2 linked regions of the Mus musculus genome follow. The protein of the gene in region 1 purifies or fractionates together with the protein of each later gene. This does not show direct contact. Links are inferred from orthologs where the notes say so. Each region holds a gene or a part of one and is shown in the gene's direction. Other genes may lie near its edges.

Region 1 (4,877 bases):
GTGAAGGAGAGAGAACTCACTCCAGAAGAGTTGTTCTCAGACATGTGTGTGTGCGGCACACACACACACACACACACACACACACACACCCCAACCAAACAAATGCATACAAATACGCACATATACAGATTAAACTATAGGGAATTCCATTCTTTTATAAATAAACCAGGAAACACTCCCTTCCCCCATGAACTCAGTAATAAAATTCCTCTTTTCTCCTTTTGTTCTCAATGACTAATGGAAGCTGTAAGTCCCAGTCTGCCTTATATATGTTTGGTCAGTGGGGCATTAGTGTGCTAGCCATTTCTTCATTTGGAGAAAGGCATCTTAGCCATCTCATTAGTCCCCCAAATATTGAATTTTGTAACATAGGTATTAAGTTAGGAAGTGAATTAAGTACTCCTGAGTCTTCTGCCTGTCCACCTCCTTAGCAGTAATATCCCTTTAAGGGTTCAGAGATTCTGAGAGGGGTTAGGTTCTTTTTCTAAAATCAAACACTCAAAGTCTAAGTTCAAAAACTTAGAAACACCAGCCTGTCGCCTGTTGGGTTTGGTTGTAGACCTTTCAAGTGAACTGTTTTGTCATGGGTATGTTCACAGTGTAGAAAATGTTAACTCTTTTATTAATTCCAGTCTCATTTTTCCTTGTAGGAAGATTAAAGTCTGGGACTTGCAGGCTGCTCTTGACCCTCGGGCCCCAGCAAGCACATTGTGTCTGCGCACCTTGGTGGTATGTGATTTGTTGGGGTGGGGAAAGCGTGTGTCTTGTACCACACTTTGAGAGACGTATAGGTATTTTTGGCCAGCCAGAACATAGTTCATTTACACTGCTGCAGGGTCCTGTGTAGGTGAGCAGGCACCCTCATGATTGTGCTCATTTCTCCTGGAGCCTTAGGGGTTCTGTAGTGTGCAGTTGTGTTATATCTTATAACTGCACAGTAGTAAATTGTTAAGGTCTAATTCCCCTCCTCCCCCAGTCTCTATTATATGGGCTCCTTTGGCACATAGAAACACTTTAATTTTTAAAATTTATTTTAAATTAGTAACTATATTATCAAAGAGAATAGTGTGATACTTTGGTCTATAATATACATTATAGAAAAATTGTCAACAAATTAATGAATATATCAGTTTTCATTTCTTTGATAGAAATATTAAAAATCCGTTTTTTTAAAAACCAAGTATGGTATGGTAGTTTAGACTTTTAATCTCAATTCTTGGGACAGAGGCAGGAGGATTAGGAGTCTAAGGTCATCCTTGGCTACATCGTGAATTTGAGGCCATAAGACCTTGGCTACATATACTTTTAACAAATTTTGAAGTACCCAACACTATGCATTTTCCTGGTCACTCTATAGTGGGGTGGATGATTGGCAGGGAGTCCTGCAGTCTGGGTGAGTGAGACTTTGGGCCTTCTGAGGAGCATTGGATTCAGTCCACCTGTCCACCCTTCTCTCATCTAGCCTTCCCCATCTCTCACTTTTGAACCCTTCTTTCTGCTTCGTTTCTGTGAGGTGCCAGTCTGTGGGGTCAGTGTCTGCCCGTGTCTGCTTTATTATCCACTGACTCTGATAGACCTCCAGGTGGTTGATTTTCCATGTCAGTGGCATGGCAGAATGTCTTGCTTGCTTTAAGACCAAGTAAATACTTTATTTGGATATGTGGATCTTTTTTAACATTACTAAAGCTATTGATTTCTAATATTGAGGCTGCTTCTGTTGGAATTTTTGTTTTCCTTTGAGAGACATCTGAAAATAGTGATAGGCTTTTCTTGAAATTTTTCAGCAATTTTGTTTCTTTTTAGAAAATTATCTTTAGGGCCATGCTGGTGACACACACCTCTAATCTTCACAGATAAATCCTCTCTCAAATAAATAAATTTGTATGAACAATTTGCCTACGTAGGTATGTGTTCACCTTGTGTGAATCTGTTGGATCCACTGGAACTAAGATGGTTGTGAGCCGCCAAGTGGGTGCTGGGAATTGAGCCTGGGTCCTTCTGTAAGACCGACAAGTACTGTTAACTACTGAGCATGCTCTCTAGGCCCAGGAGTTGTATCTGCATTGACTACAGCAGGCAGCACTGTAAGAGCCACTCTTACTTTCACCATGAATTTTGATGACTGCTATGACTTAATACAGATGTTCTTGGTCATCTTTTTAAAGAATTTTATAGGGAGCTGGAGAGATGGCTCAGCAGTTTGGAGCATCAGCTGCTCTTCCAGAGGTCCTGAGTTCAATTCCCAGCAACCACATGGTGGCTCTCAACCATCTGTAATGGGATCTGATGCCCTCTTCTGGTGTGTCTGAAGACAGCTACAGTGTGTTCATATACATAAAATAAATAAATCTTAAAAAAAAAGTTTATAGCAACTTTGCCCTTCTGAGTCTAGTTTTACAGTATATCCTGAATGGGTATTACTCTGACAGCCTCTGTTTTTCTTCACATTACTAGGCTATAATGTAGGACATAATGTTTAATTTAAAAAAGAAAAACCTAGGGGCTGGAGAGATGGCTCAACAGTTAAAAGCACTGACTGCTCTTCCAGAGGTCCTGAGTTCAATTCCCAGCACCCACATGGTGGCTCACAACCATCTGTAATGGGATCTGTTGCCCTCTTCTGGTGTGTCTGCAGATAGCTACAGTGTATTCATATACATAAAATAAATAAATAAATCTTTTTTTTTTTTAAAGGAAAAAGAAAAAGAAAAACCTAGAGGCGTATATTCTAGAAAGCAGAACATTTGTTCTCAGGGAAAGGATGCGGCTCAGTGTGTGTGTGTGGGTGGGGGAGGGGGGAGGGGGGACCACGCAGGAGGCATTGAAAAGTGCTGACTTTCCCGCCTGAGCTAAATCCCAGCTCTGGTGATAGGGGCTGTAAAGCCATCCTTCCTACATGTTAACCAAGCCGCTTTTCCATAGGAACACTCTGGACGTGTGTTTCGGCTGCAGTTTGATGAGTTTCAGATCATCAGCAGCTCCCATGATGACACTATTTTGATTTGGGATTTCTTAAATGTGCCTCCCAGTGCCCAGAATGAGACCCGCTCTCCCTCCAGAACCTACACCTATATCTCCAGATAGCAGCCTGCACTTTGGCCCAATCTGGTGAGTGTGCTCAAACTCCAGCCCTGCCTGGGCTCTTCAAGACCTCGCTCACTTCTGGACTTTGCCTTCCCTCTGGGAATTAGGAAACTGAGGTTCCTTAGTGATGTGAATGAAAGCATCTACCAGACTAGCAGGTAAGGTCTCAATAGGCTCCCAACAGAGCCCTGCACATCGTGGGCTCTCTCGTCGTCATTGACAGGTAGTGATGTCTGTGGTTGCTGTTTTTAAAAAACTGGTTACCTAAATGAGTTCCTTCATGATCATAGCCATTTAACACCAGGATAGTTTTTCAGGTTTGATTTTTGGATTGCAGAAATCAACCTTTTTACCTGGTCTTTCAGTTCTGTGGCTGACAGACAGACAGGCAGATGGGTGTAGTCATGCCCATGCATGCGCGCACACAGGACCATCCAAAATTCCTCTTCCCATCACCAAGTCCACTCTGCTTTACCATCTCCACAAGGAGCTATCACTTAATTATGCTGTGCATTCTTCATGGTGAGGCGTGACAGGTGCTTCAGAATGCAAATCCTCCGCTCTAGTTACAGAGCCGCTGTCATACTGTTGGTGACAGATTGTTTTGCTCACCAAGATGCTGTTTTAGATAGAAAGAGAGAAGCCCGATTTGCCCAATCCCAGATATCCATGACTACTGGGAACAATATTCCTACCTGGAAGATTTGCCGGGATCCATTAGATTCTGCGCACATCCCGCTTTGTCCACTTCATAAATACCCTTACTTCTGTGACTGTTTAAAGATTTGTGATTAAATTCTCTTAGTTAAAAAGCATTGCTTAGCCGGGTGTGGTGCGCATGCCTTTAATCCCAGCACTCAGGAGGCAGAGGCAGGTGGATTTCTGAGTTCGAGGCCAGCCTAGTCTACAAGGAGAGTTCCAGGACAGCCAGGGCTACACAGAGAAACCCTGTCTCAAAAAAAAAAAGCATTGCTTAATTCTTTATAGCTTTTTATTATGTACTTTCTAGCTTACTAAAGAGTAAGCTAGGTGGTGCTGGCACACCCCTTTAATCTGTTTCAGATATTTTTTAGTCTAGATTCTGAGTCCCATAAATGACTCTCAAGAAGTTTACCTTGCTCGGGCTTAACACACTGTAGCCAAGCATTGAATTTGACCCACTGTATGCTTTGTTTTTCTGCCAGTGCAGGCCAAAAGTAGATCTTACACTTTAAACACTTGAAAAATATTTTAAAAATTCATGCCATATAAAAACTCTGTGATATTAAAATTCCAACCTCCATAAAATCCGTGTGATTGGAGCTTACCTTGCTCATTTGTCACATGTCACTGTGGCATAGTTGAGGAGCTGGGACTCACACATGTCAGCCACTTCCTGTGCAGTGCTTTAAGGGTCTGGTGCGCATCAGGAACGGTCGCTCTGTGCTGCTGCGAACATCTGGGTTTCATTAGTAGTGACAGGTGAGGGCTCCCTTTAGAGTGGCTGTGGACCCCAAAGGACTGCAGGGCAGGGTGGGCTGGTGACATCTGCTGTGGGGGGTTAGAGGGGGAGGCCATCAGAAGGTTTACTGCTCCTGGCCTTCCATTGTCCACACCATCTCTGCCTACACAGTCATCTCCCCACTACTTTCTCTTGGAAGAACTTTTGTAAGTCCATTGACAAACCCACCTGGTAGTAGTCATTGAGTGATGTCTTCAGAGCACATGACTCTAGAGGTTTACAGAGGCAGAAGACACAGAGCTCCTCACCAGGCATAGTCAGAAAAGTGTAATGACACGGGGAAGGGATGGAG
Region 2 (4,877 bases), on another chromosome or scaffold:
GCAGCTTATCTTCGTGCCTTAAGTTTGAGCCCAAATCATGCGGTGGTGCACGGCAACCTGGCTTGTGTGTACTACGAGCAAGGCCTAATAGACCTGGCCATTGATACCTACAGGAGAGCTATCGAACTGCAACCCCATTTCCCCGATGCTTACTGCAACCTAGCAAATGCTCTCAAAGAGAAGGGCAGTGTAAGGATTTTGCCTTATTTTTACTTCCTTGTTATGTGGTAGAAAAGAAGAGTCTTCATTCATATTACATACATATTAAGTATTGAGATGTACATATTAAGTACTGAGATGGTTATATTGATTTCCTTTGGAGTGTTGTTTGCTGGGCAGGAGGATACTGGAAAGTGTCTGTTTTCTGGTGTGTTCCCAACCATTAGACTCAATGATGCACCTACTTGAATTACTAGAATAACAGTGGTCTCTTTGATTCTTCTGTGTAGTTTCTGAATGGTTTGTTTCATTTTCCAGGTTGCTGAAGCAGAAGATTGTTATAACACAGCTCTTCGTCTGTGTCCTACTCATGCAGACTCTTTGAATAACCTTGCCAACATCAAACGGGAACAGGGCAACATTGAAGAGGCAGTTCGCCTGTATCGCAAAGCATTAGAAGTATGTTCAGTGCCGTGGCTGGAGGGTTTAGCCTAGCCTGTGTGACAATAGAGGGAAAGCAGTTGTTTGCCTGCCATTCACCTCTGGGTTGATTTTTATTTTATTTTTACTTTTGGTTTTAGTTTTGGATTTTGAGGCAGGGGTTTTCTGTGTAGCCCTGGCTGTCCTCGAACTCAACTGTGTAGGTCAGGCTGGCCTCAAACCCAGAGAGTCCTAAGTGTTGGGGTTAATAAAGGTGTGCCCAACCACTGCTCAGCTGCCATTCACCTCTTTAAGAGGATCATTCATTATTGATGTAAGGTCCTGTGGACATGTAAGACACCCCTATATTGAGCTCATTATGCATAGGTGAGATCTGCACAAAGATTGACCAGTAAGCTAAGTAAAGCTAGTGCAGTGAAGAACTCAGGCCTGTGTCTAGTGGTTAGTAGGTGTGGAGGTTGATAAAAGTGGCATTACTCAGCATGAGTAACAGGAAGAGAGGCATACCTCTCGTTTGAAATGAAGATTGGTATAAAATGGAGAAGCTGTAGAATTTGAGCTACTAGACTTAGAAAAGGCGGAGAGAAGTTGGGATACATGGGGACGTACTCAGGGCTGTGGGAGGTAAAGGAAGATTCTTTCTGCTATTTAATGTCCGCTGTGATCGGAACTCTGTAGGTCTTCCCAGAGTTTGCTGCTGCACATTCCAATTTAGCAAGTGTACTGCAACAGCAGGGCAAGCTGCAGGAAGCACTGATGCACTATAAAGAAGCCATACGGTAAGAAACTCAGAGCTGCTTTCTTTCTATTTTCATTTTTGAGATTATAATTATATCATTTTCTCTTTCCTGCCTCTCCAAAACCCTCCCATAAACCATACCTCCTTGCTCTCAAATCCATGGCCACCTTTTTCATGAATTGTTGTAACGCACATATATGTATATGTATTTATATGCATATATATTTCTAAATATAACTTGTACAACCTGCATAATGTTACTTGTGTGTATGTTTTTAGGGTTGACCATTTGGTGTCGGATAACCAATTGGTGTGCTCTTCCCTACAGAAGACTCTCACAGACTCTCTACAGAAGACTCTCTCAATCTCTTAGTATCACTTAGATTGCCTGTATATCTTTGCATAGGATTGACGCCTATCCCCCCACCCACCCAAATCCAGTTCAGCATCTTTTTGTTCTTTCTCTTTTTGACAAGATTTCTCTAAGTAGCCCTGACTGTCCTGGAACTTACTCTGTAAGACCAGGTTGACCTGGAACTCAGATCCACCTGCCTCTGCCTCCTCTGCCTCCTCTGCCTCTCAAAATTCAGGGATTAAAGTTGTGTGCCACCACTACCTGGCATCTATTTTTGTTAAGGCTTGGCATAGTGCTATATACTTTAATCCCAGCACTCAGGAGCTTATGTAGTTCGATCTCTGTGAATTTAAGGCCAGCCTAATCTACGTAGCAAGAGCTAGGCCAGCCAGGGCTACATGGTAAGACACCGTGTAAAACAAAAATTTGGGCCTGGAGAGATGACTCAGGGATTAAGAATACTGTCTGCTCTTTGAGAGTATCTAGGTTCAATTCCTGGTACCCATGTGGTAGCTCACAACCATCTATAAATCTAACCTAGGAAATCCTGCCTTTCAAGGGCACCAGGCATATCATGTTACACAGCCATACATGTGGGCAAAACATCCACACACATAAAATAATAAAAATAATTTAAAAAAATTAACTATTTTAAACTTTCTTTTTTTTGGTTTTTCGAGACAGGGTTTCTCTATATAGCTCTGGCTGTCCTGGAACTCACTTTGTAGACCAGGCTGGCTTCGAACTCAGAAATCCGCCTGCCTCTGCCTCCCGAGTGCTGGGAATAAAGGTGTGCGCCACCACGCCGGGCTATTTTAAACTTTTTAAGAGCCAGGGTTTCATTATGTAGCCCTGGCTGTTCTGGAACTTACTATGTAGATCAGGCTGGCCTTTAAACTTACTGAAATTTACCTACCTCTGCCCCCCATGTCCTGGGTTTAAAGGCCTGTACTGCCATACTCGGCTTCCTTATTTTAAACCTAAAAATCATTAAAAATTATTCATCTGTATATGGGTATATGTTGTGCATGTAGGTCCCTACTGAGGCCAGAAGAGGGAGGGAAGGTGTTAGACCTCCTGGGGTTGGAGTAAGGCAGTTGTGAGCTGCCCCATGTGGATGCTGGGAACCAAACCCAGGTCCTCTGGAAGAGCAGCCAGTGCTCCTAGCTGCTGAGCCACTCTCTCAGCCCCTTGTTTTTTGTTTATTCACTTAGTTTTCTTTTTTTTTTCCCCTGAGACAGGACTTTTCCCCAACTGTCCTGGATCTCCATGTGGATCAGGCTAGCCTAGAAGTCATGTACTGGGGTTAAAGGGATGTTCTGTTTTAATTTTTTTTCCAGACAGGGTTTCTCTGTATAGCCCTGGCGGTCCTGGAACTCACTCTGTAGACCAGGCTGGCCTCGAACTCAGAAATCCGCCTGCCTCTGCCTCCTGAGTGCTGGGAATAAAGGTGTGCGCCACCACACCTGGCCTGTTTTAATTTTTTAATAATTCTATTTCATTTATTTTGTGGGTGTGAGGAAATGTGGGCTTATACTGTAGTGCCCATGTGGAGGTCAGAGGACAACTTATTGGAGTTGTTTCAGCTTTTCATAGTTTCTGTGGTTGAACTCAGTTATCAAGCTTGATTGTAGCTTCCTTTACCTGCTGAGCCATCTCACTAACCTTTTCAAATTACTCCTTTTTTTTCTTTTTAAAGACAGGGTTCCTGTCTGTATCCCTGGTTTTCCTGAACTTGCACTGTAGAACAGGCTGGCCTCGAACTCAAAGAGATCTGCCTGCCTCTGCTTTCCAAGTACAGGGAACACACCCAGCTTATTATTGTCATATTTTAAAAGATTAATTTACTTTTAATTATGTGTGTATTATATGTGTATAAAATGTGCATAAATTCCCTAAGTGGGTGCTTTATGCCCCTAGAGCTGGACGTTGATGTTGGGAACAGAATTCAGGCTCTGGAAGAGCAATGAGAGTTCCTAATTGCTGAGCCCCAGTTATCATCATTTATTGTTACTATTTAATAATTTATTACCTAATTAAAGGTTTGACATTTGGCAGGTGTTAAAATGATTCTCCTTCCCTCTTTGGTGCTGGGGTTTCAAACTAGGCCTCACGCTTGGTAGGCGAGTATTGTAGCACTAAACCATGTGCCAAAGCCCCCAAGTGCTTTACAACAAGATTTTGCATGAGGTAATCAAACCTTTGTCTTCTCCTTCAGAATTAGTCCTACATTTGCTGATGCTTATTCCAATATGGGAAACACTCTAAAGGAGATGCAGGATGTGCAGGGCGCTTTGCAGTGTTATACTCGTGCCATCCAGATTAATCCTGCCTTTGCTGATGCACACAGCAATCTGGCCTCCATTCACAAGGTACTGTTGTTTATTCAAATATGGGGTACCTTAGCACTGACCTATCATTGTAAGAAACTCCTTACAAGTTCGTTTTCTTTCCAGGATTCAGGGAATATCCCAGAAGCAATAGCTTCTTACCGCACAGCTCTGAAACTTAAGCCTGACTTTCCTGATGCTTATTGTAACTTGGCTCATTGCCTACAGGTAAAGAATAAATGGTCCATTATTTTTCTTTCTGCAACGTCACCATTTTTTAATTGTGTGTCATAATAATCTAGGCCTGTTTAGAGACAAGACAGTGTTTTCATTTTTATTTTTTATTTTATTTTTATTTTTTTGGGGCAACTGGCAGTCATAGGGCAGCTTTTAGGAGTCATTTCTTTTAGCACCTGGGTCCTAGGCATTGGACTCGTTGTCAGGTACGCAAGGTACGCCTTTTCTCAGCGAGCCAGCCGCAAGACCATGCTTGTAGGAGATTGCCTAATACTACTCTAGGAGCTCAAATACTTGTAAAATAAATCTTTGGGTAGGTTTTTTGGGTGATAATTTCTTTTTGCTTCCTCTAGATTGTCTGTGATTGGACAGACTATGATGAGCGGATGAAGAAATTGGTTAGTATTGTAGCTGAGCAGCTAGAGAAGAATAGACTGCCTTCTGTCCATCCTCACCATAGCATGCTGTACCCTCTTTCCCATGGCTTCAGGAAGGCTATTGCAGAGAGGCATGGGAATCTCTGCTTGGATAAGGTGACTCCTGTTTTAATCTTTTTGTTATAAACTAAAATGCAGATAGAGAAAAACATTGTATAAATTAAATGTATGGCTTTACC

The links.
Region 2: the proteins of Fbxw11 (region 1) and Ogt purify together in Homo sapiens (affinity purification with mass spectrometry; 3 studies listed by BioGRID and IntAct, with this or other methods). This does not show direct contact. The link is inferred for Mus musculus from reciprocal best matches to the Homo sapiens genes FBXW11 and OGT.

Annotation. Positions count from the first base shown.
Region 1 is NC_000077.6:32,739,537-32,744,413, forward strand, and holds part of Fbxw11 (F-box/WD repeat-containing protein 11), read left to right. Parts: intron 1-650; coding exon 651-729; intron 730-2,922; coding exon 2,923-3,084; 3' UTR 3,085-3,108; intron 3,109-4,877.
Region 2 is NC_000086.7:101,663,366-101,668,242, forward strand, and holds part of Ogt (UDP-N-acetylglucosamine--peptide N-acetylglucosaminyltransferase 110 kDa subunit), read left to right. Parts: coding exon 1-189; intron 190-477; coding exon 478-618; intron 619-1,278; coding exon 1,279-1,379; intron 1,380-3,912; coding exon 3,913-4,066; intron 4,067-4,150; coding exon 4,151-4,252; intron 4,253-4,614; coding exon 4,615-4,794; intron 4,795-4,877. UniProt on the Homo sapiens protein: Catalyzes the transfer of a single N-acetylglucosamine from UDP-GlcNAc to a serine or threonine residue in cytoplasmic and nuclear proteins resulting in their modification with a beta-linked N-acetylglucosamine (O-GlcNAc).